Neodiprion lecontei: one gene and its partner. The protein of the gene in region 1 interacts with the protein of each later gene in a pairwise test. Links are inferred from orthologs where the notes say so. Each region holds a gene or a part of one and is shown on either strand. Other genes may lie near its edges. The genes, in order: splicing factor U2AF 50 kDa subunit and splicing factor U2af 38 kDa subunit.

Evidence for each region.
Region 2: the proteins of splicing factor U2AF 50 kDa subunit (region 1) and splicing factor U2af 38 kDa subunit interact in binary tests that used the Drosophila melanogaster proteins (3 or more experiments, as listed by UniProt). The link is inferred for Neodiprion lecontei from reciprocal best matches to the Drosophila melanogaster genes U2af50 and U2af38.

What each region holds. Positions count from the first base shown.
Region 1 is NC_060261.1:3,587,266-3,604,322, reverse strand, and holds splicing factor U2AF 50 kDa subunit, read right to left. Parts: upstream 11,530-17,057; 5' UTR 11,393-11,529; coding exon 11,371-11,392; intron 11,283-11,370; exon of another isoform or gene 11,268-11,282; coding exon of another isoform or gene 11,243-11,267; intron 10,516-11,242; coding exon 10,265-10,515; intron 10,152-10,264; coding exon 9,891-10,151; intron 9,812-9,890; coding exon 9,661-9,811; intron 9,575-9,660; coding exon 9,519-9,574; intron 8,966-9,518; coding exon of another isoform or gene 8,942-8,965; exon of another isoform or gene 7,787-8,941; intron 6,318-7,786; coding exon 6,036-6,317; intron 5,936-6,035; coding exon 5,771-5,935; intron 5,647-5,770; coding exon 5,515-5,646; 3' UTR 4,246-5,514; downstream 1-4,245. Other genes in the region: uncharacterized protein LOC107224427, read left to right, coding at 3,285-3,327, 3,802-3,885, 3,976-4,130; ankyrin repeat domain-containing protein 27-like, read left to right, coding at 12,754-15,567. UniProt on the Drosophila melanogaster protein: Necessary for the splicing of pre-mRNA. Binds to the polypyrimidine tract of introns early during spliceosome assembly.
Region 2 is NC_060262.1:38,673,765-38,688,133, reverse strand, and holds splicing factor U2af 38 kDa subunit, read left to right. Parts: upstream 1-7,544; 5' UTR 7,545-7,686; coding exon 7,687-7,730; intron 7,731-7,846; coding exon 7,847-7,934; intron 7,935-8,009; coding exon 8,010-8,076; intron 8,077-8,169; coding exon 8,170-8,458; intron 8,459-9,239; coding exon 9,240-9,293; intron 9,294-9,829; coding exon 9,830-10,154; 3' UTR 10,155-10,527; downstream 10,528-14,369. Other genes in the region: A-kinase anchor protein 200, read left to right, coding at 3,130-3,294, 3,649-3,726, 3,842-3,886; COMM domain-containing protein 8, read right to left, coding at 6,337-6,495, 6,559-6,711, 6,801-6,962, 7,061-7,126. UniProt on the Drosophila melanogaster protein: Necessary for the splicing of pre-mRNA. Binds to the polypyrimidine tract of introns early during spliceosome assembly.

The DNA of each region.
Region 1 (17,057 bases):
GAGCCGAAAATTTTTGATCTCAGATTCGATTTTTATGACCCTTTCCTGACTAATTCGACCCCTAGGAACTCAGAGAACGCACCGGAAAAAGCGTGGGACCAACGGCAGAGAAATTACGAAGCAAAGAGCATCAGCTGAAAAATGTGAAAAACACAGGTTCTGGTTTTTTGGCTGTAACTTTTGATCCGTTGATCGCAGCGTATTGGGACTGCGTCCAATCGATTTCTCACGCAAAATTACGTCGGAATAGTACATGAGAGAATTTATTCCTGCACTTTTCAAAATCGCGAAAATTTTCGCCAAAAATACAAAGGGGTTAGCCTTACTTTTTTCTTCATTTTCGGAGCCGAAAATTTTTGATCTCAGATTCGATTTTTATGACCCTTTCCTGACTAATTCGACCCCTAGGAACTCAGAGAACGCACCGGAAAAAGCGTGGGACCAACGGCAGAGAAATTACGAAGCAAAGAGCATCAGCTGAAAAATGTGAAAAACACAGGTTCTGGTTTTTTGGCTGTAACTTTTGATCCGTTGATCGCAGCGTATTGGGACTGCGTCCAATCGATTTCTCACGCAAAATTACGTCGGAATAGTACATGAGAGAATTTATTCCTGCACTTTTCAAAATCGCGAAAATTTTCGCCAAAAATACAAAGGGGTTAGCCTTACTTTTTTCTTCATTTTCGGAGCCGAAAATTTTTGATCTCAGATTCGATTTTTATGACCCTTTCCTGACTAATTCGACCCCTAGGAACTCAGAGAACGCACCGGAAAAAGCGTGGGACCAACGGCAGAGAAATTACGAAGCAAAGAGCATCAGCTGAAAAATGTGAAAAACACAGGTTCTGGTTTTTTGGCTGTAACTTTTGATCCGTTGATCGCAGCGTATTGGGACTGCGTCCAATCGATTTCTCACGCAAAATTACGTCGGAATAGTACATGAGAGAATTTATTCCTGCACTTTTCAAAATCGCGAAAATTTTCGCCAAAAATACAAAGGGGTTAGCCTTACTTTTTTCTTCATTTTCGGAGCCGAAAATTTTTGATCTCAGATTCGATTTTTATGACCCTTTCCTGACTAATTCGACCCCTAGGAACTCAGAGAACGCACCGGAAAAAGCGTGGGACCAACGGCAGAGAAATTACGAAGCAAAGAGCATCAGCTGAAAAATGTGAAAAACACAGGTTCTGGTTTTTTGGCTGTAACTTTTGATCCGTTGATCGCAGCGTATTGGGACTGCGTCCAATCGATTTCTCACGCAAAATTACGTCGGAATAGTACATGAGAGAATTTATTCCTGCACTTTTCAAAATCGCGAAAATTTTCGCCAAAAATACAAAGGGGTTAGCCTTACTTTTTTCTTCATTTTCGGAGCCGAAAATTTTTGATCTCAGATTCGATTTTTATGACCCTTTCCTGACTAATTCGACCCCTAGGAACTCAGAGAACGCACCGGAAAAAGCGTGGGACCAACGGCAGAGAAATTACGAAGCAAAGAGCATCAGCTGAAAAATGTGAAAAACACAGGTTCTGGTTTTTTGGCTGTAACTTTTGATCCGTTGATCGCAGCGTATTGGGACTGCGTCCAATCGATTTCTCCCGCAAAATTACGTCGGAATGGTGCATGAGAGAATTTATTCCTGCACTTTTCAAAATCGCGAAAATTTTCGCCAAAAATACAAAGGGGTTAGCCTTACTTTTTTTTCCATTTTCGGAGCCGAAAATTTTTGGTCTCAGATTCGATTTTTATGACCCTTTCCTGACTAATTCGACCCCTAGGAACTCAGAGAACGCAGCGAAAAAAGCGTGGGACCAACGGCAGAGAAATTACGAAGCAAAGAGCATCAGCTGAAACATGTCAAAAACGCAGGTTCTGATTTTTTGGCTGTAACTATTGATCCGTTGATCGCAGCGTATTGGGACTGTGTCCAATCGATTTCTCCCGCGAAATTACGTCGGAATAGTGCATGAGAGAATTTATTCCTGCACTTTTCAAAGTCGCGAAAATTTTCGCCAAAAATACAAAGGTGTTAGCCTTACTCTTTTCTTCATTTTCGGAGCCGAAAATTTTTGGTCTCAGATTCGATTTTTATGACCCTTTCCTGACTAATTCGACCCCTAGGAACTCAGAGAACGCAGCGAAAAAAGCGTGGGACTAACGGCAGAGAAATTACGAAGCAAAGAGCATCAGCTGAAAAATGTCAAAAACGCAGGTTCTGGTTTTTTGGCTGTAACTTTTGATCCGTTGATCGCAGTGTATTGGGACTGCGTCCAATCGATTTCTCTCGCAAAATTACGTCGGAATAGTGCATGAGAGAATTTATTCCTGCACTTTTCAAAATCGCGAAAATTTTCACCAAAAATGCAAAGGGGTTAGCCTTACTTTTTTTTCATTTTCGTAGCCAAAAATTTTTGGTCTCAGATTCGATTTGTACGACCATTTTCTGACTAAGTGTACCCCCAGGAACTTAGAAAACGCAGCGAAAAGAGCGTAGGACCAACTGCACAGAAACGACGATGGAAAAAACCAGCAGTACTGCAATGTCTAAATACTCTCTTTCGTATTTTGGCCGCAACTAATGATTCGTTGCTGGCAGCGTGTTGGGACCGCGCGCAATCGAATCCCCTCGCAAAATTACGTCGGTATAGGATAACAATGTAATCATCATCGCATTTTGTCATTCATCCAAAAATATACCGAAAAACCGCACAGAGGTTATTACTACTTTTCCAGAGCCAATGATTTTTCATTTCATAATCGTTTCAAACGTCCCTTTCCAGACTAATTTGGCCCTCAGGGTTGCAAAAAAGACATGCGGCACAGCGTAGGACCAACAGTTGAGGAGATGCGAAGAATTATCTTAGTTTTCCGGCTGTCACCCCTGATCAGACTAGTTGACAGCTAAAAAGTCACTTATGCGATTCATCACAATGCATATCGTCAATGTTGGCAATATAAAAAGTAGATGAGTATATAGAATATACATGTATGACTTCTTTTCCAATCGCTCGCATGCAGCGGAATCTTTGAAACACATACGCACAGTTTCGAAATCTACGTAGAATCACAACACCTCTCTCACACACCACTGTAGAATAACTTATCTGGATGTGTCAGCCAGATAAAATACTTGATTACCGGTATCTCTTATCTGTTGATTCATGAGGCTATCTTTGGTAAAAAGAGGCGTGCTACATTCGGTGAGAAGCAGCCTTCAACGCTGGATTGTGTGCAATTCGTGTAGAGTTTAATAGTGAAAAGTGAAAAGAAAAATCATAAAAAATGCGTGCCAAAAGTATTTTGTACTACTTTGCCATTGGTCTATGTAAGTTTATCACTGCGATAATTTATATAATTTATATATATAAGCAAAATTACTCTATATTACTTAGGATTACTCCTAAGATACTTATACGCTGAACAATTTTGTCCGATCAATGTAACAATTTTTTTAAAATTGTACAAAGTGCTATTGAATGTAAAAGATAGCAAGGCAATGTATTGCTTCTTCGTCAACGGAAAACTAGCTGTGGGTCAATTCTTCTTCATGTTCTAATGAAACTACCGAATATCTTGCAATGATCCAATGTTGTTTGATATTTTGTTGCAGTTATTCTCATTTTGCGAATTACAGTCACATTAGAATAAAAATTGTACAATTTCACGTCCTCAAACTTCGTCCTAACGAAGTAAAATCAAAAATATACCTCGCAAAAATGCTAACTAAGTATTTCACTCGATATCAATAAATCATTATTCATCCATTAATCTACACGTTTGATCTCCTCATGTAATACAGTGATCATGGGAATGTTCATGGAAGAAGTTGAAGCAAGGCGTAAAATTCTCAGAGGACGTAAAACAATAACCAGACGTTACTACAGTAAGTAAATTAAAATACAAACAATCACGACAAGTTTTACGTTTTTTATAGAAAAATACAATTGAAAACTAAACTCTGATCATATTTCAGGAGGCACCGCAATTCCAGCTTGGTCAATAGTTTTGATGACCGGTATTGGAATGCTGATTATCGGTGCTGGTTTTTACGGCCTGCTAAAAAGGCTGGTAGTGGACAGCGTGGATACAGACAGTTCTTACCAGCCTGCGTTGCAACAAGAAATTTAATTTCTACTAACACACTCAAATAATCACCCATTTATTACATCGTCTTGATACATTTAATTTTACGTCAATATAATGTTATTCTTATAGGCGAAGAAACAAAAATTTTTTTTTTGGAATCCGATCTAAAAAATTCTCCATTACGTCTCTGTGGCGTTGTGATTAAACATCATACAATAAAACAAAAAACTTGTTATTCCCACTCAAGATGATACAAATTTTATTTATACCCTTTCTATATTATATTTATATTTACATGTATGTCTTTGCCAATAAAGAGCGAAAAATTAGGATTCTTTGTTTCAATGTAGTCATTATTTTTTTTCTTTTAATTTTATTTATACTGATTGGACGTTAGCCTATACTTTAGGCAGTAGCGACAAAATCTAGGTAATATATTCTACCAATTGTATTAATTTGCAAATAATAATGCATGGCATATTAATAAAATTCACCATAAATCATGTATATATTAAATAAATAACATATTTTGCGCAAGATTTTGCCCCTACTTTTCGGGGACACATAGGTATTAATTATTCATTATAAATAATGTTCAATCAATCATTATTTGTCGACTTGCTGAAGCAAATATTCAACTCTCAAGAGCATTGGTTGCACTTGAAAGAAATTATTATGAAAAACAAATGACCTTATATTCATACGGAAAGGTAACCGCTGATTTCCGTACAGATCACAAGGAAGCCATAAAAAAGAGACCGTACCTTGTGCCCGTATTAAATTAAAGCACGAAACGACAATTTTGCGACTCACAAAGAAACAATATTATTATAAGAGTTCTGCTCGTATTTGCTTCAATATTAAATGAATTGCTCTCAAAGCTCGTGATAATTAGTAGATAATTGTTACTCCGTTGTGAAGAACGCTGGATACGTCTTGAAAATCGTCAATAGACCATTGTCACGTAAGCACAAACTTTGCCTTTGATAATTATATAAAACTAAGAAGAGGGAAATATCGAAGGCAACGTTTAATCTCATGTTATCGCGCAAGGTACTGATTCTGTTAGCCATAGCCATATTTACCGTAGTAATGTTGCTTTTGTATATGATTCACAAGAAGAGAGAGCAAAAGCAGAGAGATATTTAAAAAAAAAGGGAAACGCCCAATGGATGGTCCAGCATAGAAAGAAAAAAAAAATGTTAAATTTAAATGAGATACAACTTCTTCTAATCATTTGAAAAGTGGGAAACTAAGAATACTTTAAAAATAATATCAATACACTGATTTAGTAGCACTTGATCATAGTTAAAAGCATATCAATTAACGAATAACATACAAGTAGACAAAATTTTTGCTACAATGACAATTGCGTTCAATTTCTGATTATTTATTGACTGTTACGAGGAATGGAACTCGTATATATTTAAAATTCTCGGCGATGGTACTTGTCAGGGTCAAAATAGGACGTTACAACGACTCGATTGTTGAACTTTCGTCCAGTCAACGTTTGCTGTGCCTTTTGACAGTCTATCACGCTGTTGAACTCAACAAAAACCTGGAACAAAGTTAATCATTGATTAGACATAGTTTTACAGACAATATGGCAGTTAATCGATGAAATTCGGAGAACGATTCATCATGCTGTAAATAATTGCATAAATATTGATAAAACGCCGAACCTTTCCACATCCAGGAACATCAACGCCTTCGATGGGCCTAGGAATTTCTACTGACCGAACGACTCCATATTTGTTGCACTCCTCCTTGATGTCTTCAAGAATATCTTCATACTCCTCCTCTTCCATTAATTCCTCAGGTGTTACCATATTGAGTAAGCATAACACCTAGAAAAATTTTATTGAAGTAGTTCAAGTAAAGGTTCAATTTGGTCTGACGATCACGACAAAAAGAGAACTTCTTCAAAAAAACAAATGTCCCCTGTACCTCGGTAGCTGGACCGCTAGTGCCAACCATCGAGAGACCAGGAACTTGAATTTGAACTGGAGCCTGAGCGCCGATCATTGGATTCTTAGCTCCGACGCTGGCCCGTTGTACAATAAGTTTTTTATCCCCAAGCTGCATCCCATTGAGCCCAGCTATAGCTTGATCGGTCATCGTGACATCAACGTACTCGCAAAACGCGTATCCTTTCGATAATCCTGTAGCTGAATCCTTCACCAAGTTGAATGCCCGGAGTTGTCCAAAGCTCATCAGCAGTTCCTTCACCTGTTATTTCATTATCAATCATTTCAAGTATTAATTCCGAGGTATCCTGATTAAATTTGAAAGTGGAATGTCTATTTTGAAACATAACGATTTTGCTCACTTTTTTTTGTCAAAGTCTGGCATATTCTCAGCAGATATCAACGAATCGAATTGAACGCAAAAAAAGAAACAAAATTGGCTCTATCATGATTATGAATATTCAAATACTTCGTATATCAATGGCAAGAATCTGGTACAATAGCAATCTACTTTTTTTCGCGTATATTGTTTATTTATAAAAAGAATTGAAGAATCGATCTATAATCTATGTTGTTCACCTGTTCCTTTCTTGTGCAATTTTTTAAGATCATCTACAACCACTAGCCCCAGCAAGTGTTCTGTTTACTTTCATTGCTTTCATAAATGTCACAATATACTTATATTTACTGATGATGTATCATATACTATTAAGATAATTACAAATAAATTGTGATGGAAAAAGTTTATTGTTCAAGTAACAAAAAGGAGGAATTTATTGCTGATTGTTAAACCAATTTAAATGGAAATCGCGTATCGTTACAATCTATTAACTACACGCAAACACTTGTAGAAAATAAATTGAATAGGGATTTTCGTTTCCACTGAGAGAAATAAATCGACTATTTCAATGTTTTGTTTTAACAAAGTTTGCATTTCGAAATAATCATTAAAAAAATGAATGTGAGGAATGTTGAATGTTTAGCACGCCAATGTGCTCGTCTATCTATTTTTAAACGTAATTAAATGATATGGATAAAATTTGTACATGAGACGATAACGCATTTCGATACATGAAATACAAACTCTTGAATATAAAGTTTGTACCAAATGCAACACGAAGTGCGTTAAGGTGAGGGTTTGTGATAAATGTATTAATATGCATATACACATAAAAATACAGAATCGTGGGTTGTATACTGCACTAATGCGCACTACTATACCTTTTGTCTACTTACAGTGTTGACATTTTGTCAGAGACACTGGAAACGTTGTAGTTTTTTTTTTTGTTGATAACAGCACGTTAAACTTGTATCAGTAAATTATACAATTTCAACCAAGTAAGTCATCTCTTTTCATACAAAAAAAATAACTGTCACATCCAAAGATGCGCAAAGTTAAATTCCATACACATTTGTACATAGAGGCCAAAGCCAGGTCTGACAAGTATGGATCACGTGCTGTCATCGTGAAACTCTTAAAAATCTAAGATACGCACCAAATTCAGAAGCCATTTAACGGTCGCCGTCCAAGTGGCTGCAAAAGTCTCTTTCCAAAATGTGAAAACAAGCAAACTGATATGAATACTTGCCTCAAGAAACCAGACTACCCGCACTCCGGCAAGTGTAGTATTTTGTCATGTTCAGTAGTAGTAGTAGAAGTGGTAGTGGTAGTGGTAGAAGTAGTGGTAGTGGTAAGCGAATGCTTTTGATCGGCACGACCCTAAGCTAAGAAATGGGGAGAAAGAGCACTGGTATCAGTCCACATTTTCTTTATGTTTCCAAACGATTTTCATTTTTGTTGTTGATTTCTTGTACTTTTTCTTTTGTTATGTTACGGTTATAAGATCACTGTTATGCTTTTCATCATAAATTTAACAAGACACTTTTTTTGACTTTTTAAATCCTTACTTTATCATGAAAAGAAACATTAGTTTCGTTTAATATACAATTATTGGCCTGTAAAAGTTGAATGCCTGAAATACGTAGAACGTGCCTGTAAAGAAAACAGCTGCAATAGGAAGGAAAAAAAAGTATTCCTGAAATATATGATACTGGATAAAAATCTGTAGTCATAACCAGATGCACCTAAAAAAATACCTGTAAACCCACCCAAAAAAATACCCAATTCTCTATGGACTGTCCACTCATTTCTCCCGCAGACCTAAAAAAAAAAAAATATTCAACAGCCGGACATGAAATTCTAACAAAATACCAGAATTGAATTGCTTCCAACTTTAGCTTATGAGCAAAAAAACAAAAAATATACGATTCAGAAAGGAAAGCAAGTTATATGACCAACATTGTACCATTTCTCCCTTCATCTCATTCACCTTGTGAATAAACATTTTGTAGAGTTTCCTTTTTTGCAAATAAGAATTTAAAGCAATTATTCATTTTGTTTTGTTACAATTGAATATCCAGACGTGTTGAGATGGCTGAAATGACCCCCCTGCCCGCCCTGCCAGCTTCAGTTTGACCATTTCCTTCGATAGAAAAAAAAAAAAAAAATGTCTAAATCCTTAGGATAAAAATTACAATCGGCTGGATCCACCGTACGAACGAATGAATGTACCTAGAAAGGCTGTAAAAGAAAAACGTCACTGCGACAGCGTGCCACCTAAAAGCTGTAACGCCACTAGCCTCTTTGCCCTAATTGTACGACATGCTTAATACTCGATATTTTGAATGAATCAAAAAATCTTTTGCACATCGACAATCTTTGCACACACCTTTCAAGTACAGTCTTATCTGATTTCGAAATTCGCGGAAAATTGATTAAATGCGAAGGTAAATGAGTTTCCTGGATGGACAAAAATACACAGGCGTAACTTCATTCGAAATCTCGTAGAAGAGGCAAAATGAAAAATGAACCCCTACATTTCTATGCTAGCTAAACGACCCTAAACGACGCTGAAATCGGAACAATACATACCTCTCAGGAATCTCACACACGGGTGTTGTACGCAGAGTCTCTGCCAGATCGCTAAATACCTAGTTTACAATTTAATGATTTCTTCTCACTTGTAGCGGTGAGAAACGATATCGTAATATGCATTTATTTGCTGAAACGATACCGATCCTCAAACCCCCACCAGTGTTCACTAAAAAATATTTCAAATAATATTACGGGGATGTTTCAAGTCTGGATTTTGCGTTTACCGTCTTATCATGATTCGAGGAATAGCAATTTGAAAATTTCTTTGCATTCGGTATGTTAGTTCATCAGTTTCACATTGAATCTTAAAAGCTGAGAAAGAGCTATGTTTAAAGCGACTAACTTACAACATTAATTTTCCAAAAGCAAACGAGAAAAAAAAATATGTTTGCACAAAGCAATAACCAACGTTCTCCACAAAAATTGATGAAAAAATTAGCATCCCACGTAATATGCACAGATAATAAATGATAATGAACCCAAACAAGTAAATATTGAGTTTGTACTTAAAACATCTGGCTGACATACCTGTTCCTCGTTCAAGTAGTTGGGCAAACCGCCAATGAAAATCTTGTGTGGTGAATCTGTAAAAAGAAAGAAGTTCTCCATGTGACCAAAAAAGTTGTGCTCAATTTCTGACGTGCCATTACATCTGACCAGAAGCACATACCAGGAATCGTACCTGGCACGTTCATGCTAGGGTTATCTGTCATGCCAGGCATCGGCTGGTAATCGTGCGGCCTCCTTATTTTCAAACTTTGTCCTTTGAAATTAATGCCGTCGAAAGCCATTGCTTGTGTCGTTTCATCAATGGACCGGAACTGTAAGAAATATACATCAAATGACATAGTGGTTCGGTAGAATCAATTTAGTCAAAGCCAGTAAATGCGGAGTAAATACCTCAAGGAAAGCAAAATTTTTATCAAGATTGATCTGGCAGGCAAGTACGGGATTTCCAGCAGCCTGTGCAAGGCCGGAAAGATGCATCTGCTGGTTGAAAAACTCCATCATTTCCTCTTCTGTAACTCCGAATGGAATGTTTCCGACATAAAGTCTCCTAGCCTGACGTGTTATTGTGCTGCCCACAACAGGTACTGCTGCCTGAGGGGTATCAGCTACAATGTTCGCTGGAATTTGTCCTGCAGCTTGCATAGCTTTGTACTATAAAAAACAAAAAGATTGAATAAGATTTGGAATCAATCTAAGCTTTGAAATTGAAACTAATGGCGTTCGAATTGTCAAAAACCACAAACAATTTTATATTACTGTATCACCTGTAATGGCGTGATGTGTTCGAAACCTGGTGGCGGAACATCCCAATAAAGAGAGGGTTTTCTCCTGCGAGAACTGCGACCCTTTTTAGGTGAGCTGCTCCGTTTTCTGTCACGACGATCTTTTGAACGAGACCGTGACCGCTTCCTACGGTCCCGACTCCTAGATCTGTGTCTCCTATCTCTGTCTCTTTCCCTCTCCTTTTCTCTATCTGGTCCTCTTTCCTGACGCTCGCGATCTGCAAATGACTCTTCTGGTGAATAAAATGATATCCATGCTTTATTATTTCTATTCTCAGTACACATGTCATGATAATAGAATTATTTAAAGTTTAATTTTTTTTTTTTTCTTGACATGAATGTTGTTGCCCAAGTCATTTCTCAACTAATTTTAGCCTTATCTACTTTTACCATAAATGTTGTTACCTTAATAATTTCTGAACTTAATCTAATCTTGGAATTATTTACTAAAGGAAGCAGACACATTGTTTTCAACTTATTTTAGAAAAAGAAAGGGAACGAATAAATGAAACAATTATCAAGTATCGGATTGTTCCTTGAAATTCAAATTCAAACATCGCTACCCAAGCCATAACATATTTCTCCGAAATGAATACTTCAAATGCAAATTGGCCAAAAAAAAAAAAACAATGTATAGAGTAATTTTCGTACAAGGGATCATAACCAAGTAGATTAGTTTACAATAATAGTGTCAAGAAAAAATTACCGCTAGTCGAGGGCTAGTGAACCTTTCTGGCTTGTTAACAACTGAAATAAATGACATTGTGACTGTGACGAGATTTTAGAACCCTGCCCACGATGATTGCCAGTATAATAGGGCCAAACATGGAATTCATCCCGACAGCGAAAGGCGGCTCGAAGGCTTATCAGATTCCATTTAAGTTTCGAATTTCGTACGGTGCAAATCGTTGAAAGGTTGGAATGTAAGTATACGTTGCGAAATAAGATCCGTGTGTTTACTCGGTGTAATAGACGCTGCCGCCATTACTGAATCTTATTATAAGGTTGCAGAAACCGCCAGGAGACCACCGCCGAGGAGGTTAGTACGGGGTCTGAATATGTATTTGATTTAGGGACGATATTCTCACCTCCATTGAAGTCCTCTCCCATTGTGAAAAACCGTAAACAGCGATACTATTCACAACAATGAATATCACAATTATTCACTATGCGTAACACGACGGGTGACACCTTATTTTAGAATCGGAATATCGGCGTAGCGAGCAGCCAGATGACGGAAGTGAACAGTTTTCGATTTTCGAGAGTTATCGAGCGACGAAACTTCTGTAGACGCCAAAATGGCCGGCAAAATTGATTCGGTCAATAAACATCATTGAGATAATAGTAATTATTATCCAATGATTGAAAATTTATATAATTACTGGGATATTTAAAGATATTATAAAGAATCGCAACTATTTCCAAAAATATTTGCAGAAAAATGTGCAAGTTATATCAAGCATGGGGCGCATGGCATATATAACTATTTCCTGTTTTAGATTGATAATTATGCACGCAGAAGCAACGCGCCGAATTCACAATTATCCAAACTAGATCGTAATATCACAATAACAGCTACCTATCTGATAGTATTGGAAAATTATAATGAAAGAAATGTTGAGCCTCCTTTCAACTCGACCTTATTATAACCATCATCGGATTTTTTCTGCAGTATCGTACTTTTTACGTTAAATGAAAAAAAATCATAATATTACATATTCGCGTTATATTTTACGGCTCGCGATTGGCTGGTCAAATTATAATTTTTTATTACGGGGGAAAAATTTTGAATGAGAAAAATCCAGCAATTTGGATCACTCACAGAGTCCTGTAATATAATTTAATTTACACATCACCATGCAGCTGCTGCGTAAGTCGCTTGTATATAATAGGAAAGAAAATAAGTATCTAACGCAAAATAAACTGATAAAAAATATTCCCAACTTACAAATTCGTAGAAGTCTAAAGCAATCTTGTTGAGCGTATATCGACATAACTAATAGCAGATTATATTACAAATAAACATAAAACTACAATATAATACTATATTTATGATGTCTGCGTGTTTCTAATAATCCATCGCGTTAAATAGTTCTAAAAATGAAGGTTAAAATAAAAAACAAGTAATTAAAAAAAAAAAAGAACAATACGAAAGCGATGCATTTTGATGCAATCTATCCGATTGTAAATATTTTTCTCTCTTGCCATCTGTTGGATTCGATTTGCAACAGTATGGGTTAGAGGCGTCAATTATCGACTGGTGAACAATATTAAAAAAAAAATAAGAAATAAAATAAGACAAGGCAAAAAGTCGTTGATAAGTAACCGTTGACAGCAGCCAAAGCAGAAAAATTACAATAACAATTATTTATAATCGAAAGCGATAAAACGCAATGAAAGAAATACGTGAAGGAGAGTCGATACTTTTGTCGAAAAGTGTACGGATTCGAAGAATAAAATAAATTTCATTGATGTGCCGTTGTGTATTAACCTTATTTTCGCACTTTTTTGACGTTCCTGTGCCTTTAGGCCTTTGGCGTCGAAAGCAACCTCGACGTAAATCGAATAAATGTCGTAACAAGATATTTTTCCCATATTCTTTGCACAGCAATTTATATTTCGTTAAAAATCGAGACACCTCATCATCAGCGACAAACGCATGGGATCATATAAAAGATATGGAATCAAATTACGACGAGGATCTGAACGTGAATATATTTTTTCAACAATTGCAGCATGAGTACACGAGTGTATTTGAAAAGGCGGTAAACGAGGGTTGGGTCATTTGCGTTCCTCGTTCAGGCAGCTTTTCCCGAGGCTCTCTCCTGGCCGACGACTTCCTCGGACACATTTTGGTACCAAGCGAAGAGCTGCCAGCTACTCACTTCCGAACATTGACTGGCAAGGAAGTGAGGCTATGCAACAGGGTCCTAACTGTAGATTACGATATCGCAAAGCCATGCACAGCGCATATATTATTCGAGGAAACCTTCTATACCGAAGATTCACAGAAGTATCGAATATGGTGTGTCGAGCGGATTCTGGAGCGAAGTTCTATCACTTCGTACGAGTCCCTGCCCACTTTGACAAATCTCAGAGAATGCGTAGATTTTCTCTGGACGGAGATATTGAACAAGGAGGTGCTCGAAGAGCTGGATAATGCGGTTAAAGAATATCAACAAACTGACCAGGATCAGCTTGAAGATAAACCGTTGCAAACTCAGCGTGATCTTGTTGCTGGTTTGTACGCGAAAAGCCTTCGCATTGTTCTCAGGGATTCGAGATTGAGGGAGAAAACAACTGCCAGTAGGCATTTTCTCAACGGTATAAAAGTCGCGGTGGAAACATATGTTCTTTACGGGTTGAGGAACCTCTTACCAAAATATGTTTCCGCTTGCACCGCCTTTGATGATGCGTGTCTTAATAAAACGATTAAAAACCTGCACGAATTGCAACTACGGGACCTGGGCGTCAGATCTGATCTTTACGGCGGCGCAGTTAGAGGAAAATTGGAGCTGGCAAGGCTCGATGGTTTCGCAACGGTTCTGGGAAAAATAGGCTGCCTTAAACGTGCGGTTCACTTTGCATCACAAGGTGAGAGTTCAGTTTCATCAGACGATTTGCTTCCAGTTCTTATATTCTTGGTGATAAGAGCGGGTCTGCCTAATTGGATAGCTCAGCTAACGTTTATAAAACAGTTTAGGTTTTCATCGACCTCAGAATATGAAACTGATGAAGCTGGCTTTTTGGTTACTTCTCTTGAGGCAGCCATTGAGCATATCAAATCTGGAATGTTGACAGGATCAGTCCACCCTGAGGCAGACGGCACGTATGAATACGTGTCTGGTAAAGACGAGCTGGAAGAAAACAGAGTGGATGAAGTATCAATCAGTCATTTTTTTGACCAAGTAAAACACGGAAATACGTCAGAAGTTGAGAGAATACTGTCTAAGGAAACTATAGATAAAATTAGACCGCCAAATGTTAAGCTATGTCATCCTTTATGCTGCTGTGAATCGTGCGAAAAAAGTTTAGCCAGGGACGCAAGGTTCAGTTTACCTACCGTTAATTCCAGAGATGACAGAGGATTAACGGCCCTTCATATCGCAGCTTTATACGGTCAGGCTAACATGGTGGACTTGCTTATAAGTCACGGAAGTAATGTTGATGAAGTTGATGCGGATGGTACTACTGCTTTGCACTGTTCAGCTGCCAGAGGACACCAGAATACATTACTCTTATTACTTCATGCTGATGCCGACCCGAGAATCACAGATGCTCACGGGAACACTGTCCTCCATTTAGCGGCTGATAATGGTCACGAAGCCTGTGTCAAGGCAATCTTATACTTTTTGGAGCACACTAAATGCCCGATAGATCCAAATTCATCAAACACTAACGGAGACACGCCGCTTCATTACTCCTCAAAATGGGGCTATACTGGAATAGTGGAAATCCTTCTGGAACACGGAGCGCAACCCAGAGCTGTTAACAGAAGAGGCCAAACTCCGTTGGTGCTAGCACACAGTACTAGCATCTCTAAGTTATTGGAAACTGCGGCGCACAGAGAATTTTTTTCGACACCTCGCCTGGTGCCAACCCAATCTTCACCGGCGATGACGCAGTCGTTGAAAACCGAAAAGCAATTTGAGCCACCTTATTCCACAGAGAGACTTCGCAGAATTGAAAGACTCTTGTCAGCAATTTCTGTAGGTGATCTTAGACTGGCTTACTACTATCTCGGCTTAGAGGGACCTGATCAGAAGCTTGTACAAACTACAGCACCTGCGATGTGCCACCCACTTTGTAACTGTGAACAGTGTACTTTGATAGAAGAAGTTCCCGAGGAACATCAGCGGAAGCCTGCCTTAGGAATAAATAGTCGGGGTGGTGATGGCCAGACTGCTTTGCATATTGCCAGCGCAACTGGTCGTGCAGAGTTTGTTCAGTTACTGTTAGACGCAGGTGCAAAGCTTGGTTTTAAAACAAAGTCCAGAGGGCAAACCCCGTTGCATTTCGCATGTTTAAATGGTCGACTTGCTGTAACAAAAATACTTTTAAATAGCGGAGAATGCGATGTCAATGTTAAGGATAATTTTGGAGACACTCCGCTCCATTTAGCTTCCAGGACAGGCAATGCAAAACTTGTTGAATTGTTAGTTAGACATGGAGCTAATCCTAAGATTCGTAATTCGAAAGCCATCACTGCACTAGAAGAAGCTGAAGAAAAAGTTATGGTCAGTATAGCTAGAATACTGAATGAACAAACCGCTGTTTCTACTTAGCTATTTGTTGCAGCTGTTATAAAAATTACATACCAAAACAGTAGACTACGCATATTGCCTAATAAACAGTACCAATGTTTATATTAATACTTAATATTCGTGAAATAAGTCACTAAATGGCCATGGTCTTTGAGAAACCAACAATCGTTATTGAAATTTGTATTATTACCAGTGTTTAACATTTGTGAATACAGTTCACTGAAGAAAGTGCTCTCAAAGATGAAAAGGAATAGCTGTAGTTTATACTCAAGTTATTTTATATCTTGAATCACGCTGATAGGCTACAATTTTTAGTTTTATCGAATTTAGGTCCTTTTTTTCTTTTCAGCTGTTAGCCACGAGCTTAAGTACAAATCAACATAAGCAATAATGCATGCGTACCAAAATTTCGTTACAAATTACAGATTACACATGAATAATGAAATCGCGACAAACATTAATAATTAGACTGATTCTTTAGTTTTTATTTTACCACAAACTTTAATATGTATAGTATATACAATAATGTATGAATCGTGTAAAATATAATATATAATATACCATTTTTTTGCTATGTACAGTTTTATATGGTATTTGCAAACATGTTACTTAAATATATATTATGCTTGTCATTATTGACTGTTATTCGTAATCAATTAACACGTAATTGGTCATCCTCAAAATATACATTCCATGTTTGGATAAAATTTCACTGATATAAATATAATCCAATCTAAACTAATTGTGCTTCACAATCAGTTAAAACGTAATATCTCAAGATAAAATCTGTAAAGATATTTTGATTCAGAAACAGATTTAAGCATTGCACACTCTGACGGATCCTGACATCTGATTGCCAGCTATAAATTAATTGACCTCTTCTATACGTTAAAACAGGTTTTTCAATGCGGCTTTTAGAATGTTTAAAAAATGTGTCTTATCAATATATCCAAGTTTATAATCTTTAGAAATAATTTGAGTAAATAATCGTATAAAACTCAAAACCGTCGCAGTTCCCCACATCCAAGCTTTTGTATACATGCAAAAACTATTTTTGAGTCTGTGTATCTTGTATGTGTATGAATTAAACAATACATAAATAGAAATCGTCATTTCTACAATATCGTTAAAAGATACATAACTTGTTCTACGCATAGATTAATTAGATTTTTCGTGACTTATGATACAATTTTTTCCGAGTTATCACAACAGATCACTAGAGTACTTTTATTTTGTTAAACCAGACATCTTTTTGTCGATTGTGTAATTCGGACAATTTTAACTAATCAACGATCTATAAAATCTCAAGCAAACTCTGTTTCATTCAAATGTTTCGACTACCCCAACTCCATAATCACAACATAGACATTAAATCAAACTACTGATACTTTTTTACATACTCTTGCAACGATTTCTATCGGTGCAACAAGTTGGCATGACTTAAAATTTGTTTTTCAACATTGAAAATGTTGATATAAAATGTGATATACATAAAAACAATGTCCGTTTGA
Region 2 (14,369 bases), on another chromosome or scaffold:
GCATCGGCACTTGCCGAAGCATTGAAGGTGCCTGCCGAGGCTGCTAGTATGGCATCACAGATCGCTAAAGAGCAAGTTGAACATGCCAAGTCACTTGCCGAGTCGAAAACGACTGTTGTTACAGAGTCTAATATTGTAGAGGCTAAACTCACATCCGAATCTCATCCTGTTACGGTCAGTCGGCCGGTTACCGAGGTACCCGACAGTCTTAAAGAAACTGAAATTTCACCCGTTGTAGACGAGGACCAAAGTCTTCCTGTAGCTTCCTGTAGCCAAATTGTAGCCGAAGTTGTCAAATCTATCGAATCAGAAGTTATTCCAGGCCAAGCCGTTTCAGATGTTTTTATCGAACAAGTCGATAATTCATTGGGTTCTGACGAAAAGGTCGACGTTTGTTTAAAAAGTTTGGAAACACAAGAAATAGTTGTAAACGGTGTATCTGGTCTCCATTCGCTGTCATGGGAGAGTCTCACTTCACCAGCGAAAGATGCACCCGACACTGAGAAAATTGAAGCGTCAGTTGTGCCTGATAATGATGTAATTTACGACCAATCTTTCTTCGTTATTCAATCGGAAGAAGGTCCGTTGCCGTTATCTGAGGAATCTTTAGTCGAAGCCAGGCCAGCTCATGTAGTTTCCGAGGACGATTTTACCCAGTCGGTTATCAAGGCAGTCGAGACGATCGATTTGCTGGAAAGTGAAAGAAAGTCTGAAACCATTGACGTTGTGTTGGAAACTGATAAAGTTCTGTTAAATGAATCTGATTCAAACGTATTGCTGGCAGAAAGTGTGGAAACGAATTCTACTGACATTAAAAGCAGCGACGCAATCCAGACAGAAAGTGTATCAGTTGTTCCAACGATGAACGGTTTGGTCAATGAAATTGTACCACCCTTGCCAGAATCGCCAATTCCCAGTTTACAGAAGTCTCAAGGTATGGGTGAATTGCTGTCAGAAAAGATTGATAAGTCGATGAATCTTCTGACGGGTGGATCTTTCGTTTCGCCTAAAACTATGATGAACGACCTTTCTGGGCATTTGGATTCTGAGGATGTTTTTGACCCGATTGAGGAATTGAGAGCTTGTCACATGTCGGCTGAAGGCCTTGTTAGTCCTTTTAAAGACACTTTGCAAGAACTATCCAGTTCTGTAACGGATACTTTAAACCTTTCCGAATCTTCTCCTCCTCTTGTGAAACTTGCAAGCCCAATAAACGAAGTATTGCCAGAATTCTTAAGCTGTCCTAAGCTAGTCAAAGAAATTTCCAGCACACCAGACGATTTTCCAGTCCCTCCTAACGAATTCGATGCCTCTGATGACCCTGTCGTGATTTGTCCCACACCAACCAAAAACTTATCCAATCCTATGCAAGATATTTCCGAACTGACTATCGAAAATGGCAGCCCCACCGAAGAACCTTTGTCTCCAAAAATCCCAGCGGAGAAAGTTGTGTCGTCTTCTCCCAGCTGTCCCAGTCCTACGAATATTCTGATATCACCAAAAGAGTCTTCACATTTTCAATTAAATGATAAGGAGAGCAATCAAGAATTTGAATTGGAGTCGCTATCACAAAGCCTTAATTCATACAATGATTCGGATGTTCAATTGAAGGAGAGATTAGCTGAATCGGAGGGAATGAACGGATTGGAAAATTCACCCAGTTGCCCATTGTTGAAAGCTGTACCAACCGCTGTGCCGGAAAACGCCCAGGTGACTAACATGCACATCCCTGGCATGATCAAACGCGCCAAATATTGGTGAAAAAAATTAAAAAAAAAAAAAAAAACCAAACCAAATTTCACTATTTGATTGACAACTGTCTCTGTGTGCGCTCCAACACTCTGTGATAGCCTGAAGTATTTCATCCTTGATTCCCAATTGTATACGTTCCCCCACATCATCATCCCGTATCGATAGAACTTAACATATTACATCCACCTGTCATTGTACTTGCCGAAGATCGCATTCGCAATTTCTGTCATGTAGAGCTCGTTGTGGGGTTCAGCATGACATTCTTAGGCAACTTATTAATATTTATATCGAATAGCATGATGCAAGATACACAGAGCAGCATTTATCGGCTTTGAACTCTCTTTCCCTTGTTTGTTGGATTTCCCTTGAAAAAACCAAACGAAATAGTATTTGTACGTGTCTATAAAAACAAGGTATCAGCCACAGCATTATGGAATCAAAGAATTCTTTTTTAAGAATTCTCGTCGTTTGTTACCCATAAATTTTAATCGACGCCTGTGCTCTTGGCAATCTGTCTCCTATCTCACTCTCCAGCGACATTCGCCTGCCATTAGTATCTGTGTGTTATAATATGGTTACGAAAATCTTTTACCTTTCTACGACACAAAATTATTAACAATCTCTAATACTATGTCCCAAAATTCCCGAACCCATGTGTTGTTTGCCTCTTGGTTTTCTTGAAACATTAACATAATTTTATTGCAACTCAAAATAAAGTCAGAGCCACGTAGATTGGCTTTGAAAAATAGAAGCAAAATTGATGCCTGTAATAATGATAAAATAGTGGAGGAAGTGTTCTTCGGAAAAAGAAAACATTGTTATGAATAACACACTGTTAAATAATTTGAATTCTAGAAAACAAACTCATTGATAGACGTAGTTGAGCTGAAAAATTTACTATTAGTTAGTAAAATCTAGAAATTGATAATTAATCAAACAAATTTTCAACGTTCTCACTTTGTAGCCTTGTTTAACGTCGCGTCTGTAGTAGAATATGTGTTACATGGTATGCTGCGCATGTGAATTGTCTTGCCTGGGGACTTATATAATATTATCATTGCATGAAGTTATCGAAATTTTTATACTTGTCATTCGACCGGATCAATTATTTAATAACATCCATTTGGCGTAGTAAGATATTTATTCTACACATAAGGTGAAGCATTTAAAGCAACCGGTCTAATTCAAAATAATGGAAGTAAATATTTTGCATCAATAATTCACACTTATTTGATGCGTATTATCGAAAATGCACAATTTAATCAATGAAGTATCATTTAGATTTACGTAATTAGTACAGAGGGAACTTGGGTGTATGTACAATTTAAGTGGAAATATTATTCGAAGCTTTTGTCTGATGAGGGATTCATTTCACAGAAAATTGCCGAGCCTGAAGCGCCTGCTGAAAACCCAGCTGAAGTTAGCGCAACAGAGAGTGTGACTGAAGCTCCGGCTAGTCCTGCTCCACCTGTACCAGCAGAGCTGCCAGTGCTTCCGCCATCGGAGCCCGCTCTCACCGAAGATGTAGCCTCTGTGACCAAGGTAATCAATAAAGATATTTTTCAAATGTTCAAACTACAGTCAGAATTCAATAGAGAAAAAAGACTACAGACGCATTGTAGTCAGAATAAAGTTTCGATGAAAGTTTGTTGTAAATCTTGCAAGAATGATGATCGCCAATCGACTATTTATTGCTCGTCGAGTATAGGTAGTTCTGAATTTTATTAATAAATAATCAAGTGAAGACTACAGAGCGAGGGGCCATCTGACTTATATATAATGCATTATTTTCGTTTTATTCTTTACGACGTAGTATAACATTTTTTACAGTTATGTGTTCCTAATCTCCAAAACTTTGGTTGTCAGATTATCAATTATTCATTTTCATCTTTACAGGCTATTGAGGACTTTGAAATCAGCGACAAAGCAGTAGCGGCTGCAGTCAACGAAGCCATCGAGAGCAACAACGCAAACGTGAGTATGAAGTTATAGTAACAATAAATTTGGATCAACTTGTGAATTGAATTGAAGAAAAGTTTTGCGCAGTAAATTAGTAATTTTTTCATCATCGTTCTTCTTAATGTTACAGGAAATTGTCAATGATTCACTCCACCAGAAGGTTATCACGGAATAAGCAGCGTTAAACCGAATTGTATTTGGGAAGAAGAAAGTTTTTTTTTCTCGTTAAAACCAAAAAAGTATATTATATATATATACATACACACATATATATATATATGTATACATATATTTGGACCATTCCTGCAACTAAACAGAAAATAACGTTCTTTTATTACGAGCAGCAGAAAGAAAAGCGCGATTGTTAAATGAAACATTGTGAGAGCATACAGACTTTATAGTAGACCCATTAATTATTAACTGTTTGATAGGAAAAAATCTTTGGAAAAACACAAGTGGAAAATGGATAAATAATTTAGTAATTGGAAAGAAAGTAGTAATCTAATTAATTGGTTTTCATAAATGAAAAAAAATATATATCAGTCACCGAAATTCGCGCTCGAGCGATATACACTTCTTCATAAAATAAGTGGATGAACGAGATAGATGATGGCGTTTTATCTTTGGGCAGTGCCCATCGCAGGTGACAATTTTCCTGCCATGTAGAAATTTTAAAGTGTCATTAATTATTAATTAAGCCCAAGAAAATATTGAAAGAATTTGAAAGGCCTACTGTGCGTTCTAAGTGAATTGGAGTGAGATAGATGGAACTCTATCTTGGGTACTCCGAGGGAAATACTCAAAGGGTAACACCCTATCGACTCAGCACAATGCACCACGTGGAAAAGGAAAGACGAAAGAAAACTCAAGAAAAAACTACAATACCACAACCACCATTAACCACAACGCAACACAGCGTAGCATGAATATGAAAGTTAGTTTCACATCGGAAACCGTGCATAAGTTTAATTATTTTCCTCGTATTTTTGTTTGTCGGTTTTTTTTTTTTTTTTAAACTACAATGTTTTTGTATTTATACTATTTGAGATGTTTTAAGTTGTAATAAAGAGCTGCACACACGTACACACACATAAACATGCACACTCACGCATAACTTACATACGGAAAACGAGAATAACACGGTACATAAATGGAGTAAATATACAGTAAGATTGAGCAATGTAAGTGATATATAATCTAAAAAAAAAAGAGCCAAGTGTGTCTCGGGATGCTAATTATATCCGTATAAAATACTTGCAAAACCTATCCTAATTTCTATAATAATTATTAAAAGAATATTGCCTAATTACAATTACGATGCCCCGCACATCCACCCAATTATCCCTGAAACACCTTTTACAAATTTTTCATACGATATTTCTACGTTTATACGAATCTCCGGAGGTTGAAGTAAAACTTACTAATTAATTAATTATGAAAGATTTTATTAAGCTCGTAGCGTAGAGAGTATAAACCTAAATGAAATAAAACGAAAAAAAAAAAAAAACTTAAAAAGAATCCATATGTACGCCCCAAAATCAGAATTATTATTCTAAGTGTTAGAGAAGCGTGTGGCCATTGCTCTTGATCGACATTGGTTTTAAAAGATATACCTATTGATAAGCAAGAAGGAAGTAAAATTAAAAATTGTATAGTAAACCCCTACTCTTATGGATTTTAATTATTATCTGTAATAATGGTTACAAACTTACAACGAAATTGAATGTTCTTTCGAAATAAGATTTGACGATAAACCAACAAATCTTTCTATTTAAATTCTTTCGATGCGACTGATCTGCACCAATCAATTATATTAAATCGTAAATCTAAAACGTCCCTGAATCATAATCCCTCGGTATTTTATGTTGCGTTGAAGACGATATATTTTAACGTGGAGTTTCATTCGTGGACGTTTTGGAAAATCGAAATTCAGTTTTCAGTGTCTGATCCGCAGTTATAATAATAACTAAACTATTCAACATTTATCTATAACAAACCTATAATAAACTGTGAAATAAGTGTATCTATTCTCTATAATTTCCGACTGCCTCATGATCCTCTTAAACTGTCCTATAAAACGCATTATGCTCTCCTATATCAGCCGACTTGAGTGAACATACTTACTGCGATAAGGTACAACGGGGAAAAAAAAATCTGGCGCTCATAATAGATATTTATATATACACAGTTCGCATAGTAAAGCACTTTAGAGTTCTATAAACAGATGATTACTTGTTCATCAATCTTACGACAACTCAAATTATTTGTATAAATTGGGTGTAAATATTACATATACGGTACAATTGAATTGTCCAGGAAAACGTTTGGTTTTCTCATTATTCTGTAATTATGCTTTAGGGTCAATGTTGCTTCATGTAATTTATGTCAAAATCAAGATTTTTAGTATTCTCATTCTAGGAGGTACCTACTTTATGTGTGCAGTATAACATTTTCGACATAAGGTTTTAATACTACAATACTTGAGTTTTCAATACCTAAAAATAGTATAACTTATGGGTATGATAGAAATAATTAATACGGTGGAATAGAATAAGATTATCCAAGCGTAAGCATATCTTTATTCTGAACGCTATTATAATTTCGGTATAATAACAGTTTTTCAAATCAGCCTCCCACTTCCTCCAACGCATTTATCAACATGTCGAGTTCATCTCTGTTCAACTCAAGATCGAGGATTTGCTGACTCTTGCTATCTTCGATGATAAGATCCAACTGCAGAAGAGGTTCTTTCAACGTGGCGAGTTTGCTTGATCCCATAATCCACTAAAAGGGGTAATTATTGAATTTTATCAGCTGACTTATACAATTATTTCTCTATTCAAGTACCTTTAATCTCCAGTCAAAGTCGAGCAACGTCGTTCCATTTTTGATTGAATGCTCCCTCAATAGCGCCTTAACCAGATGCTCTCTTCGTATATTTACACATGTGCGTATCGCAAGTTGTAATTCGGCAGGCGTTTCAACATATCGATGTGGCATCTGTCGCGTAAATGATTACGAAAAAAATGTTGAATAAAAAAAGTCCAAGATACTTAGAATAAATGAATGAATGATTGTTGATAAATTACCCTTTCATTTTCAAGATACAGCACTGCCGGATTTCTTAACAAATCGAAAATAACCTGACGGGCTATTTTGTACTCATTCTCGGTCCATTCAACGCTGTTTGTAAACTGTTGAAACGTCACTCGTTTCCGCCCGCATATTTCGTCGACACAGGCGTGAAGGAACTAGAAATCGAAGATGGGAATGGTGATGGACCTAACGTTCAAACGATACGGATTTAGTTTAGAATTAATAGCTTAGATCTTTATATTCACACACATACCTGGTTCATAACATCGCTATTTACTTTTGTAAATATATTTTGTAACAATTCAGTTTCATCCTCCATTTCGGAATGGCTTCAATGATCCAGTCACAAATGATCACTCTGTCGGTTCTTAAAACTGCCGTTGTTAAATTTGTAGCGCAGTAGCCTGCTTTCGGGTCTATGGGTCGAACAGCTCCGATAGTACAGCAATGTTGCCACTCTGAGGAAAAAATCACTATAGTTAAGTATAATTTTGATTGGAGGGATAGACAATTTGGTATTGGGATTACAATTTCTTCGACAAAGTTGTGCAATAAAATGAGTCCTATATAATATGAAAAATATTTGTATTGATTATATTGATTTGTTATTCATTGGATCGTACATTCTGGACCTGAGATTTGAATTTTAGCGCTACATTCGACATTAGTTATGTCACTGATATTCTAGAGGGCGCAGAGATTCGTATACGGAAAATTACATTGCTGCCTTATGCCAGGTTCCACTCACCGCTACACTCTTTGTTCTGGAGCGTGTCGCGGGAGGATGGTCTCCGTCGGTTTTGTTCTGACGTGTATTAATTAACTGTTTATCGTTCGACGGTTTTCAATTTGGAGTCCAATAGTAAATAGAGGCGAACCATGGCGGAGTATCTCGCGTCCATTTTCGGTACCGAGAAAGACAAGTAAGTGAATTTAAGTTCGTCAAACTCTTCTGTATTCTGTGAGAAAAAGAAATTATACATAATCAGCGTGTGGGCTGTGCGTTCTTGATTAACGGCGTTCCGTTTAACCTTTACAGAGTAAACTGCTCCTTTTATTTTAAAATCGGAGCTTGTCGGCACGGAGATAGGTGCTCACGTATCCACAACAAACCTACGTTCAGCCAGGTAAGCAAATACCTTTTTTGAATTATTGATTTATAACCTCTGATGCACAATTGAAATGTTATTTCTTCTTGACAGACATGCCTGCTTCAAAATCTTTACGTCAATCCGCAGAACTCTGCCAAGAGCGCTGATGGTTCCCATTGTGAGTATTGAATCATAGAAGGATTTAATAATGAATCAGACCTTTGTTAAATTTGTATCATGTTTGTTAAATTAATTTCTTTTTCACGAATAGTGGTAGCTAATGTTTCCGATGAAGAGATGCAGGAGCATTATGACAACTTTTTCGAAGATGTATTTGTCGAGTGTGAAGATAAGTATGGGGAAATAGAAGAGATGAACGTTTGTGATAACCTCGGAGACCATCTTGTTGGTAATGTCTATATCAAGTTTCGGAGAGAAGAAGACGCGGAAAAAGCAGTCAATGATTTAAACAACCGGTGGTTCGGTGGAAGGCCTGTTTATGCCGAACTATCACCCGTGACAGATTTCAGGGAAGCCTGCTGCAGACAGTATGAAATGGGGTAAGCACCAGGGTCTTAATGTACATGTATAAAGATTTTCTTTTAATCATGGATTAATTTCGAGCTACGATTCTATTTCTCAAAGTTAACATTGTATTTGTTCGTACTCTGATGTATGAGTTTTTTTTTCAGGTATTACTAGTTTTACCTATTCGACCTTGATGTGCAGATCGTTGAAATATTTATTTACCGAGTGTCAGATCGATTGTTTTATAAAAGAAACATTCTAGGAATGTTTTAATTCAGCTCACAATCGCACTGAGCAATAAAGTTTAGACTATCTCCATTTCTGGAACTAGATTTAGTAAATTTTATGGAGAATTCTATGTTCAATGCGAAGTCGTTTATGAAAATTGATATTGTGTGGTAGTATTTCTTAAGAAATTATAGTTACAGGTGTGAAATTAAGTCAAAATAGCAATGAATGCTAAATAGGAATTAACGAATTGGTGTGTGAAAGATGGTAATGCGTGCTTGTATTTCGATGAAAATATTCATTTTAGTACATTACAAATTGTGGTCCTTTATCTAAAACAGATTTATGGTGTGTACTTGCATGTGTTTTGGTTCTTTATCTCTTTATCTTGACTAGGATCTACAGTGTTAATGAGAAGTTAATTGACTTTATTTTTCCATGGATATGATGCATAGATGAATCTTGTCGTGATTGCAATATCTGTCGCTTATGCCTTGCCGAGAAAATATCACAAAATGTCTCAATTGTTGTGATCCCTAATTAGGCAATGGAACAGGGCTTAACTAAATCAGTTTTTTCAAACAGATTATCCATTCCAGTCGGTGATGGTGGAGAAATCAAGAATGAATCTGCAATCGGGCAAGTTCAATGGAAGTATTAATTTCCAAAAATTCTTTTTGAACTACTCCAAAAACTCGTAATGTGGAACAGGAAAGTTCTGAATCGTAAACAAGCACACAATGCAACTAGAGACTGCATATATCATGGTTGCATTGCCCAACGCTTTTGAATTCACCTTTTCCTATTAGCGTCGAATTTCCTGTGCGATCAGATTATCCGCATACGTGTTTCGTAGCCATTTATAGTAGCGCAACTTGAAGAGATATAGAACCATCAAAACAATCGTTTTTATGTCCGTAAAAGAAAATCTTTTCCTCACATCAAGGTGGACAAGAAGAACTGTTGTTTCTTTGCATGTGTAGAATGCACTTCAAATTAGATATTGAAATGCATTGCTTATTTCGAAACGTTGATATTTGATTGGTCTCTGGTTTGAAAGTCCGTATATTTTAGTCGATTATTTTCCAAATTGGCAGGCAGAAGAGATAAATTTATTTCAAGATTCTTGGAATTCTTTGGTCGAGTTTCTAAATATTCAATTTTCTTGCTTTCAGAGAATGCACCCGTTCTGGATTTTGCAACTTCATGCATCTGAAACCAATTTCAAGAGAGCTGCGCCGTTATTTGTACAGCCGCAAGAAGGGCGGCAAGGGTGGTGGCGGAGGTGGCGGAGGTGGAGGTGGTGGTGGAGGCGGAGGCGGCGGCGGTGGCGGCGGCGGTGGTGGCGGTGGTGGTCGTTCAAGGTCTCGATCAAAGTCACGAGGCCGTACCGATCGCAAGCGTAGATCTCGCTCTCGCGAGAGAAGATCCAGATCTAAGGATCGTAACCGCAAAGGAAGAGATGATAAAGGTCGCGACGGAAGATCTGGTCGCTATTGATGTATCTCTTTCCTAAATTCAACTGATATTTCACTATCATTCAATTTTCGATGTAACAAAGTTGTCAGAAGCATATTTCAGATCTTTGCAGTAAGTTTCGAGTACTGTGGAAAAGAAACGAGCCTTATCAGTTTTTACAACAGAAAAACAGAGTTGCAGTTACTGAATTAATTATAATGTCGTGATACCAATAAGTTTATCAATATAATAACTGCGTTATAAACGACGTTCACGTGTGGAATAAATATTTTAGCCGTAAAATATCGAAATCTCTCGTAACTAGTATTATTTTGAACGTCATTTTGTGAACTGGTATTTAGTCAGTTATTGTAAAGCAACAGTTTGTAAAACAATAAACAATGCTTGAAATGTACTTGAAATGGTATCGGCTCCAACAAGTAAACCAGTGCAGCATTAGTAAATACTCGAATGGCGTTGGTCCTTTCCTGCCCGATTTTCACTACCATCGAGATTTGACCAAGGGTTGTCCAGGTAGATTGTATGTACCAATAGGGTGTTTCAGAAAAAAATGATTTGCGATTTTCCACCCTGGCACCTCCTGAAAAGTTGGTTTAGGTGAACATAATAAAAAAAAAGGTTCTGGAGAAAGATGAGCGTTCTACGTTATGTGGAAGATGAAATGTCAAATCAGTGTGATCTTCCACATTAGGCTGGAGTTGCGTTTTTGCGATTTTCAGAGCTTGGAAATTTATTTTCTCAGAATCGTTTCGCAGAACTCTTTTTCCGCTAATCGAACCCTCAGGAATGCTAAAAAGTCATCAAAAACAGCGTGGGACCAACAGCAGAGGAAACACGAAGCAAATTTTTCGTTTTTCGGCTGTAACTCTTGATCCGTTGGTCGCAGCGTATTCGGACTGCACGCAATCGATTCCTTTCGCAAAATTACGTCCATATTAGGTATAAATTAATCGATTTCAGTATCTTCCAAAATCCGTCAAAAATTGACTGAAAACATCCAAAGGCCTTGCATTGTTGCGATTTTCAAAGCTCCGTAAATTTTCGTCTCTGAATCCTTTTTGCAGAAGTTTTTTCACCAATTGGGCCCTCAGAAATGGAAAAAAGAACTTAAAAAGAGCGTAGGACCAACAACAGAGGAATTACGAAGGAAATCTTTTGGTTTTCGTCTGTAAGTCTTCATCCGTTGTTCGTAGCGTATTCCATAGAGCCTATCTATGTATAAGCTCTATGAGTAGCTGTTCGAGATATAAGAAAATAATTTCATACGTTATAATTATTCTACTATCGTAATACATGTAATGCATTGAAATGAATCAAGTATTGATATCCTTTTTATCATTGTTTATAGTTCAGGAAAAATAGCTAAAACAAATATTTCACTTTGGGCATAATATTGACGAACTTGTCAAGTCATATTCTTCTTCTCAATCGTCGAAATGCTAAATATTAATTCTTGTCAATTCACAGTTTCTCAAAGTGCTAAGAAGGACGGTTAAAATCTGGTTTTCACAGGACAAATTTTGTAATATTCAGAATTATATACATAACATTATTGAAAGATCAACGGCTGTTTGTCAATAACTGATTTTCAAGGGAAATCATCCGATAGCTTTCAGATTATTACATCCTGTTTCCAACGCAACATTATCCGTAAGAACAATTTTTATCCTGTCGGATGAACACACTACCGGTATCAAAAGATACTCATAGTTATAACCTGCTATTCCGCATGGAAAGAAATTGAAGCCAGTATAGTTAAATCTTGCACTGTTGCACATTTGTTTAATTTCAAGAGATGCGTATTGACTACATTGTTACGTGCTGAAGGTGCGGTTAAAAATGTTGAAAATGCTGTCTAGAAAGAGACAAGTGGTTTGTAGCCACCTACAACAAAAAGCGTACCGAACACGGTAATCGAAAGTAGTATATAGCAAGATGATAACCCGAGAATTTATTTGCACGTATTTATAATTCAACACATACATCACTTTGTCACAAATCATAATCATCCTTATCATCATATATAGTATTAAAGTTCGAAACCAAATTTTGGATGTTTCGGTGTTCGGATATTCAGAAATTGACGTCACCCAAAATTTTTTCTCTCTTGACGTCATCGATCTATAGTAATCGTTGACGACGAAAATCAGCTAACCGAATTTCTCAGTCCGGAAACAACCGCGCAGTAGAGAGGACGTATGAGAATCGCGCTCCGCGGATTTCGAGTAGCAGGTTCTCTACCTCCTGGATCCTGCGCTCCAGGTCCGATACCTGGTGAAACACGACTTCCATGAGAAGCGCTCCATGGTTCCCGCGCTCCAGGTCCGCTACCTGGTGAACCTCGAAATCCAGGACGAGCGCTCCGTGGTTCCTGCGCTCTAGGTCCGCTACCTGGTGAAACACGACTTCCAGGACAAGTGCTCCGTGGTTCCTGCGCTCCAGGCCCGCTACCTGGTGAACCTCGAAATCCAGGACAAGCGCTCCATGGTTCCTGCGCTCCAGGTTGGAGGTGGTGGGCGATGGTGGTTAGGGGTGGTTGCGGGTGATCGAGGTGGACGAGGAGGAGGACGAGAAGGAGGAGGACAAGGAAGACAAGGAGAACGAGGATTTCTGCAAGGTGGGTAAAATATTTTTATAATATTTAATGGCAATTGTAATTATATTCTATCCAAAATTTTTGAAACTTTTCATGTTTACAATAAATTATTTCAATTCATTTTTCGCGCAAGCCCGAATTCGGTAGCTATCAATGAGCTAATAAAATTTGTATAATTTTTTCTAATTTTCTCGAAATCTTCTTGGTCAAATCTGTGAATAAAACAATCATATTAATCCTTACACAATATTTTTCATGTGTTCTAATACTGAAAATATTTATTAGTATTCGAGGTATAACCCGAGGTGGTTAGCGAAGGTTGTTGGAGGTCGTTGGCGGTGGTTGGACGTGAACAGAGGTGGTCGAGGAGGAGGAGGAGGAGGACAAGAAAGATGTGGGGAAGGAGGAAGCGAAGGAGAAGGACGGAGGTCGTCGAAGGTGATTGAAGGTAGGCGGATGGTGGTGGGGTAATGGGTTGGAGGGTTGGTAAGGTGATAGGGTGGTGGGGTGGTGGGGTGAGTGGAAGGCGGAGTAGGGTGGGGTACTCTATCCATCCCACCCTACCCCACCACCCCGCCACCCTATCACCTTACCAACCCACCAACCCATCACCCTCCCCTACCCTACCTTACCCTACCCTACCCTATGCCTTACCCTACCCTACCCTACCCTTCCCGCGCCGATCCTCCTCCTATACTCCTACTTCTACTCCTACTCCTACTCCTGATCCTACTTCTACTCCTACTACTACTTCTACTTCAATCTTACTCCTACTTTTACTACGATCTTACTCCAACTCCTGATCCCACTCCTATTCCTACTCTCACTCTTGAACCTACTCCTGATCCTACTTCTATTCCTACTCCTACTCTTGATCCCAGTCCTCTTCCTACTCCCAATTCTGAATATTAATGTTATGGGATGTATAGACTGCGTGCCGAATTGTATCCCATATCGAAACGAACAATTCTTTTACTGTCATATTATAGCCGATTATAGTAGATAATCTAGTATGTTTCGTAGAAAATTATAAAATTTATAGTATGCATCACGTATTAATCATGAATGAATCACATATATCAATGTCGTACATGGACCGCATATACATTTATACTTCTTGGTCTCTGCATCATTATTACTTCTGATCTATTTTTATTCATGATCTATGTATACATTCTTCTCTCGGGTACCTATACTTTAATTAAATCACTGTTTCGCTACCAATTTTGAAAGATATTTATTCTCATTATTAATTTCTTGTATCGCCAACAACTCGGTAAGTACACTCAGGCCAAGTACTGGCCTGGTCTTACCATTGCGAAGACTGCGTTACTCAGAAGGTGAATGCAGCCAGCATCATGTCGAAATCGGAATCTCTCTGATGTTCTGCAATAAGTTCTCAACTCTACCGTTAGAACATCTCACGGAGCAATTTTCGGTTGTCACTCTCTTTATATTCTTCATCCAATGGTAGGGCTGACCCCTTTGCATTTTTGGCAAAAATTTTCGCGATTTTGAATAGTGCTGGAATGAATTCTTTCATGCACTATTCCGACGTAATTTTGCGAGAGAAATCGATCGGGCGCAGTCCCAACACGCTGCGATCGACGCATCAAAAGTTACAGCCAAAAAACAAAACC